2 linked regions of the Xenopus tropicalis genome follow. The protein of the gene in region 2 interacts with the protein of the main gene of each other region in a biochemical or structural test. Links are inferred from orthologs where the notes say so. Each region holds a gene or a part of one and is shown on either strand. Other genes may lie near its edges.

What was found.
Region 1: the proteins of eif4g1 (region 2) and eif4a1 form a complex in vitro, tested with the Homo sapiens proteins (3 studies listed by IntAct, with this or other methods). The link is inferred for Xenopus tropicalis from reciprocal best matches to the Homo sapiens genes EIF4G1 and EIF4A1.

The regions. Positions count from the first base shown.
Region 1 is NC_030679.2:152,586,009-152,589,442, forward strand, and holds the end of eif4a1 (eukaryotic initiation factor 4A-I), read right to left. Parts: intron 3,071-3,434; coding exon 2,961-3,070; intron 2,667-2,960; exon of another isoform or gene 2,526-2,666; intron 2,444-2,525; coding exon 2,300-2,443; intron 1,964-2,299; coding exon 1,826-1,963; intron 1,593-1,825; coding exon 1,503-1,592; intron 1,420-1,502; coding exon 1,340-1,419; intron 1,140-1,339; coding exon 995-1,139; 3' UTR 549-994; downstream 1-548. UniProt on the Homo sapiens protein: ATP-dependent RNA helicase which is a subunit of the eIF4F complex involved in cap recognition and is required for mRNA binding to ribosome.
Region 2 is NC_030681.2:99,792,928-99,796,583, reverse strand, and holds part of eif4g1 (eukaryotic translation initiation factor 4 gamma 1), read left to right. Parts: coding exon 1-123; intron 124-270; coding exon 271-370; intron 371-447; coding exon 448-550; intron 551-1,420; coding exon 1,421-1,668; intron 1,669-2,278; coding exon 2,279-2,403; intron 2,404-2,482; coding exon 2,483-2,655; intron 2,656-3,319; coding exon 3,320-3,445; intron 3,446-3,649; coding exon 3,650-3,656.

The DNA of each region.
Region 1 (3,434 bases), on a different chromosome or scaffold from region 2:
AACAGCTCGCGTTTTCCAGAAAGACCCTGATCCCACCAACATTCCAACTGCCCCATTAGCAGGTTATGCCCTATGTACCGGGGCAGGAAGAGCTGCTGATGGGAATAGGGGCACTAATTACATAGCAATAGGCATGGGGTAACTAGGGCAGGGAAATGGGGCCCCTCCTAATAAGGGACCATGGCTGAGCAATACAGGGGGGCTCCCAGCCAACTGAGAATGTCCCTCCCCCCCAGTAACGCTCGGCACAGTCACCAATTCACAGAATACATTTCCATGTTATTTCCCTACAGGGAATATGCGTTGCTAGGCAACAGAGCACCTGGGAGACATATGGCCAAGCACTTAAAGCGTTAAGTGCCACGGCCAATCATATTGCAGCTCGGGAACCATCATCGGCGCAATCTATCTATAGACGCTTGAGTCGTGCGAGGGCAGCACAGCCCGAAAATCCTTTCCCACCAAAAACAGCGCCTACACGGGGGGTAATAAAACAAGGGGGGTTATTGGGGGGCAGGGGGGTGAAGCCTTAAGACAGGAGACAAAACTATGTTGCAAAAATTTTTATTTAATAAATACTATACAGAAAAAGCAAATAAAATGGTATTTTTTAAATTTTGGGGAGTTTTGTAAAAAAAAAAAAAAGAAAAAACTCACATTGAGCTGCCGGATCTTAAAGGGATGAGCTGGGGGGGACTTTGGTCCACTGATTTGGTGGGAAAAAGTGACGTTTAGTGTTCACTTCAGAAGGAAAGAAACAACGGATGCAGGTTACGGCCACAATACCTCAAAATAACATTTATTGGAAAGAAAATCAGATCATGTGACAGGGAGTGGAGGCTACGCCCACTCAGGGGCGCTATGGTCATTGCTCTATACACCCCCATAATTCAGCGGATGCCCCAAAGAAAGCCGGGGCCGACTTTTTATTTTCATTTTATGCTTTTTTCTGTTTTTTTCGGGTTTTTCTGCCCCTCCGACTGCGGCGGGGGCGTTAGATGAGGTCGGCCACGTTCATGGGCATCTCCTCGACTGTGGTGTTGTAGAAAGTCTCTATGTCTTTCAGCGTGCGCTTGTCATCCTCTGTCACCATGTTAATGGCAACTCCTTTCCTACCGAAACGGCCCCCTCGGCCAATCCTAAAGGAACAGGACAGGTTAGAGGGGGAGGAGCCACAGTTAGCGGCGTGTCGGCCATGTTTAAGTTGCGGAACACAAAGGCAGCATGAACCGCGGTGGAGCATGGACGTTACTATACCAAGGGTCTACATTCTGACACCAGCATGGGCTACTGGCCAGAGAGGGAATACCCTTGGCCCAATAGGAGCCGGCCCACTTACCTGTGGATGTAGTTCTCCCTGTTGGTCGGCAGATCATAGTTAATGACCAGTGAGACCTGCTGGACATCAATGCCTCGGGCCTGTGGGCAGAACACATTGTAAGCGAACACCCCCACAAGCAGAACCAAGCGGGTTGCCCCACAAGCAGAACCAACCAACTCACCAGCAAATCTGTGGTAATCAGAACCCGACTGGATCCAGATCGGAACTCCCTCATAATGACGTCTCTCTCCTTCTGGTCCATGTCGCCGTGCTGGGGGGGGAACAAGGGGGTGAGAATTCCTCTCTAGAAACCACCAGGGGGCCGTGTCCCCACTGCATGAACCAGCTGTCGAGCACAGGGGGGGCCGCGCTGGGATGAACATGGGATCATTTCCTCTCCCCCCGCCAGATATAAGAAGCATAGTCACATGACCAGTCCTTGCCCAGTGACGGGGGTTGGGTGCAATCATGGCACCCCCACAGGCGGCCGATGGCAAAACTCACCAGGGCGGAGACAGTGAAGTCCCTCGCGTGCATCTTTTCCGTCAGCCAATCCACCTTCCGGCGCGTGTTTATGAAGATTACGGCCTGCGTGATGGTCAGTGTCTCGTACAGGTCACACAATGTGTCCAGCTTCCACTCCTGCATCGGGGGGCAAAAGGGGTTCAGCAAAAGGAAGCTCCTCCCCATCCAGCCTGGCCCCTCCCTCACTACAAGTGTCCCCACAGCATGAACCAGCCGTCAGGCACAGAGGAGCCGCGCTGGGATGAATATGGGCCGCTGCTCTCGCCCCACCAGATATAAGAAGCACAGTCACAGACAGACCAGTCCTTGCCCAGTGACGGGGCACCTTCCACCCTCGCCCCCCCCCATATACTAAAGCTTTCCTATTGGCTTTCCCCTATGAGGGGGTAATGGTGCAATCCCAACGACTGCTCCACCCCCCAGGGCCAATGGAACCCAGAGGAAGGCACCTACCTCTCGCTCCACGTTGATGTAGAACTGCCTAATACCCTCCAGGGTCAGCTCCTCCTTTTTAACCAGGATCCGGATGGGGTCCCGCATGAACTTCTTGGTCACCTCGAGCACGTCGGCGGGCATGGTGGCCGAGAGCAAAACCACCTGGGGGAGAAGACACTGTTAATCTGCAGCCACTAACTGCCCAGCACCAAGCCAATTGCCTCTTCATGTTCCAAGGGGGGCAAGTATTCAGATAGACAGTCAGATCATTTCCCAGACTCCTCTGCTCTAGCCAAACCCAACCCGCAGGACGCAGGCTGCGCAGGCCAAGGGCAGAGAGAGACGTGGGCATCAGATGACACGCATGGGATATCATCACTACACTGAGCCCCCATTGGAAAGTGAGTCTGGGGGCAACCATGAACAGTCTTATTGGCCAATAGATGCCAGGGGGAGGGCATAAGGTCTCATTGGCTGAGAGGAAATGACAGGGGGAGGGCATGAGCTCTCATTGGCTGTACAGGGAGTCGTTCTCCAATCAGTGCAGCATTGTACAAACCACAAGACAGAGGGAATGTGGTACCTCGGGGCAGGATGTTGTTGCTCAGCACGTGCCCCGTGAGGGTGGGACTATAGCCGGGGAGGTTAGGCCAATCAGGCAGAGGCTGCGGGCACTTACCTGGGCATTACTGCTCAGCTTCTGGAATATGTCGTAGATTTGATCCTTGAAACCTCTACTCAACATCTCGTCGGCTTCATCCAACACGAACATCTTTATGTATTTAGGGGCTGCGGATACAGAGCGGAGTGAGTGCTGCACTGGCGCCACGCGACAACGTACTCAATGTATGCTCCGCCCCACTCACAGCTGGATCCCCCCTTCCTGGCATTTGTGCCCACAGCATGAACCAGCCAGCAGGCATGGGGGCACAGCGCTGGGATGAATATGGGAGGTTTCTCTGCCCCCGCCAGATATAAGCAGCGATGCCACGTGACATGCCCTTGCCCAGTGACGGGGGGTGGAGCTACACATTATAGGCACTTCTATGGCAGATTCCTCTTTGCTGATGGGTAGTGAGCATATTAATACCGCACACTCTGGCCCACAGAGCTTACAATCCAAGTCCCTGAGCACTTCTGTACTACGCTGCAA
Region 2 (3,656 bases):
GAGCCCCCAGGACGACCCACTGGAAGCCGGGGTAACCAGCCTGCAGATGATGGCTGGAATACAGTGCCCATCAGTAAGGGCAGCCGTCCTATTGACACCACTAGGATCACAAAGATAACAAAGGTAAAGTCAATGGAAATGTGCAAAACTGTTTTTCTCTCTGTTAAGTAGTAGATTAAGAACTGTTGCTCTATGAAGAAATGGAAGACTGGCAGTTTCATGCTCTGAGTGAAGTCACTGAGTATTGGTTATATTGTGTTGATCTCACAGCTTGGTGCTATTGATTCAAATCAACTGCTTGCCCCAGGAGGACGTCTGAGTTGGGGTAAAGGAAGCAGCGGAGGAACTGGAGCCAAACCAGCAGAAACAGGTACTTAGAATTTTATCCGTCATAGTATTAGCTATGAACGATTGAGTAGCGTGTAACCATGTCTTCTTAAACTGCAGCTCCAGAATCTAGTCGGCCTGCGACCAGCACCTTAAACAGGTTTTCTGCCTTGCAGCAGTCTTCATCTGCTGAGAGTCAAGATGCTAGACGGCCCTTGCATCGGTATGGACTTACTGCAGTGTATTGCTGAAAACTTTAAAAAAAATATAGTAGTGTTATATATGCATATGAAACATTTCTTTAAGAGCTATAATGAGTTTGCACTGGAAAACTGCATGGTTTGTAAAGAGCATAAAATAGGAATTTTCTTCTTTCATTTAGCTGCAAAAATGATTAATATAAATATGCTTCTAGTAATGTTTACTCTTTGCTCCTTGAGTTACCTGATTCTTATTGAAGAAAAACTGAAAATATTCTGTACCTGATACATTGTTCTGTGATTTTTACTGTTATGGGGAGAACCAGTACCACATTCCAGACACATTATGTAACCATACCTACGGATTACACAGATTGAAAGGAAACCGTGATGGTCTGCCTGTGATTGTAGGAAATAATTTCCCATCTCCCTTAGGTTCAGTGTAATGCAGTACCTCCCTCATGTTGATTCACTGGATACTGGGACTGCTGCTACTTTCTAGATAATCTGGGTGCCAAACACTATAGTAAGCAGAAGGATCTTTGGAATCAGGCATATCTATGTTAATATTGCTCATATTTATTTCTGGAAGTTCATTGAGTGGCCACGCACCTTTTCTACATAAATTAAGCTGAATGAGCAAATGTCAGAAAGGGGTTCTATTTTCTCTGTAATCCAAATAGCATAAAAAAAGACTCCATTTTAATCAAATAATTTAAAAAAATAATTTTCCTTTTCTTTGTGTAATTGTTGGGAGCTGGCAAATGCATTATCGTTTCATGTATATGTAGTCAGGACTAACAGTGCAGAGAATAATTATTTTTGACACCAGTTAGTTGGTTACTTTTTGTCCCATGTATGGAAAGCTTTATGGCAAATCATTTTGTTTGTAGGGGAAGTTCTAGTCGGGAACGTTCTGAAAAAGATCGTGGAGACAGATTTGATAGAGGTGAAAGGTTTGATAAGGGAGAACTGTTTGATAGATCTGACCGTTCAGATCGAGCTCGTCCTCTTCTTACAAAGAGAAGCTATAGCAAGGAAACTGAGGACCGTAGCCGAGAAAGAGAGGCCCATATACCACAGGAGGCTGTGAGGAAGGTGGCAAGTATGACTGAGCAGCGGGACCGCAGCAAAGAAAGTGGTAAGTGAACTCAGCCTTTTGCGTTTATTTGTTGTTATATCTGACAATAGGTTGTCTCTTGCTGCTTATGTTATCTGTTGTCCTTTAGGGTTCTAACTGTACCATTGATACTATCTTGGAAAATCACCCATAGAAACAGATTTCTTGGGGATGATACTGCTTTTCTTTAAAAAAACATAACAAAACATAATTTTTATTATGAAACCAGGTCCTGGAAATGGCATGGACCTAATTACATTGTCTCATTTCCTAACTCACTAGCATTTTACATGCCACCTCAATGATCACTTTGTGCTTAGGGCAAAAAATTACTTACAGGACATTGCTGAGATACAGAACACATTGTTCAGTGTGCACATGGGGTGGATTTCAGCACATAATCATGTAAGCTATGAATTTTTATACCAAACTCCACCCCTTGTGGATTGACAGGCCAGTGCATGGTCCATCAGTGCATACACTAAAGAGGGCAGATGGGAGCCCCTCCCATCTGTGTGTGTGTGTCGCTGGCAAAAAAGAGGCAATAGGAGAGGAATAGGTCTCTGGTAGGGCTGCAGTTTTGTCTCTGGCTCACCTTTCTGCTTCTCACTGTATCATAATTATATTGCAGTGAAAAAAGAAATTCCAGCACCGACAGCAGTGGTTGCCTCATCAAAGCCCTCTATGTCTGAGGATGAGCTAGAGAAGAAATCTAAAGCCATCATAGAAGAATATTTGCACATTAATGATATGAAGGTGAAGTAGCCTTCTCTTTATTTTCCTATCCTATTGTAATTTTTTCTTACAGGGTTTTAACAAACACTGTGTTTTGCAGGAAGCTCTTCAGTGTGTAGTGGAGCTTAATAGTTCAACGCTGCTTTTTATCTTTGTGCGGAATGGGATTGAGTCAACACTAGAGAGAAGCACTATTGCCAGAGAGCATATGGGTCTCCTTTTGTACCAGTTAGTAAAGGCAGGAACTCTGTCCAAGGAGCAGTATTACAAAGGGTATGTATGCCACTGTAAACACTGTGAATATTTAGGGAGTGTATATGTACCATTGTTCTTTGTTCATGCTGTGTGAAGTATCTCTGCCACTATAAACGTTGCACAACGTGCTTATAGCCTTTTATCAATCGGTAGTAATTATTTTTTCCATTCAACTCTGTCCAATAGGCGAATAACCGAATCCGTCTGTGGATTCGGTGCATCCCTAATTATTATTAATGGTTGAAGTGCACTTTGGATCAGAGTAGAAGTCTCACAAAGCAAATTGCAGAATCTAATATACCATTTGTGCTGCCTAGATAGATCTGTGCCTAATTTAAATGCCGTAAAGATAAATTTTAGGGTAGAGTGGATCACACATTAGAAAATAATGGCTTATGAAAACAAAATCAAACCACATTGCAACCAAACAGTTATGTGGTGCCTTGAGTAAATTGAGATTATTCGCCTGCCCTAGAGGAGATTAATAGCGAGTTTACTAATCTTGTCTGTCGGGGACCTAAAAGGTAATGATGAAGTAGTAGATCAAAGCAAGTTGGTAGGAAATATCGCTGTCTCTTAAAACTACTACCCAGTCAATCATTCGGTGAATAAAGCTTTCAGATTCTTCTGATTTCCTTTCTCTTTGTCTCTTCAGTTCAGTGTTTTTTGTTTGTGTTTTTAGGGTGCTTGAAGTTCTTGAAGTAGCAGAAGATATGGAAATAGATATACCCCACATCTGGCTGTATTTAGCAGAGATAATCAGCCCTGTGCTGCTAGAGGGGGGGATTCCGATGGGGGAGCTGTTCAGGTAAGATTCATCTTTTTTGTGATGACTCCATAAAGTGGCTCTGTGGACAAAGGAGGTAGACGGGTTTAACAAGTATTTATAGAGAAGTTTTGGGTACTACTAACGATTAGGAGGGGTGGATAAGGGAATTCAGTTTGCCTTGGACTGAGAAGTGGGTTAGAATTTCAGTTCCTTTATCTGACACCTTTGTGCTTCCACTTCTAGAGAGCTG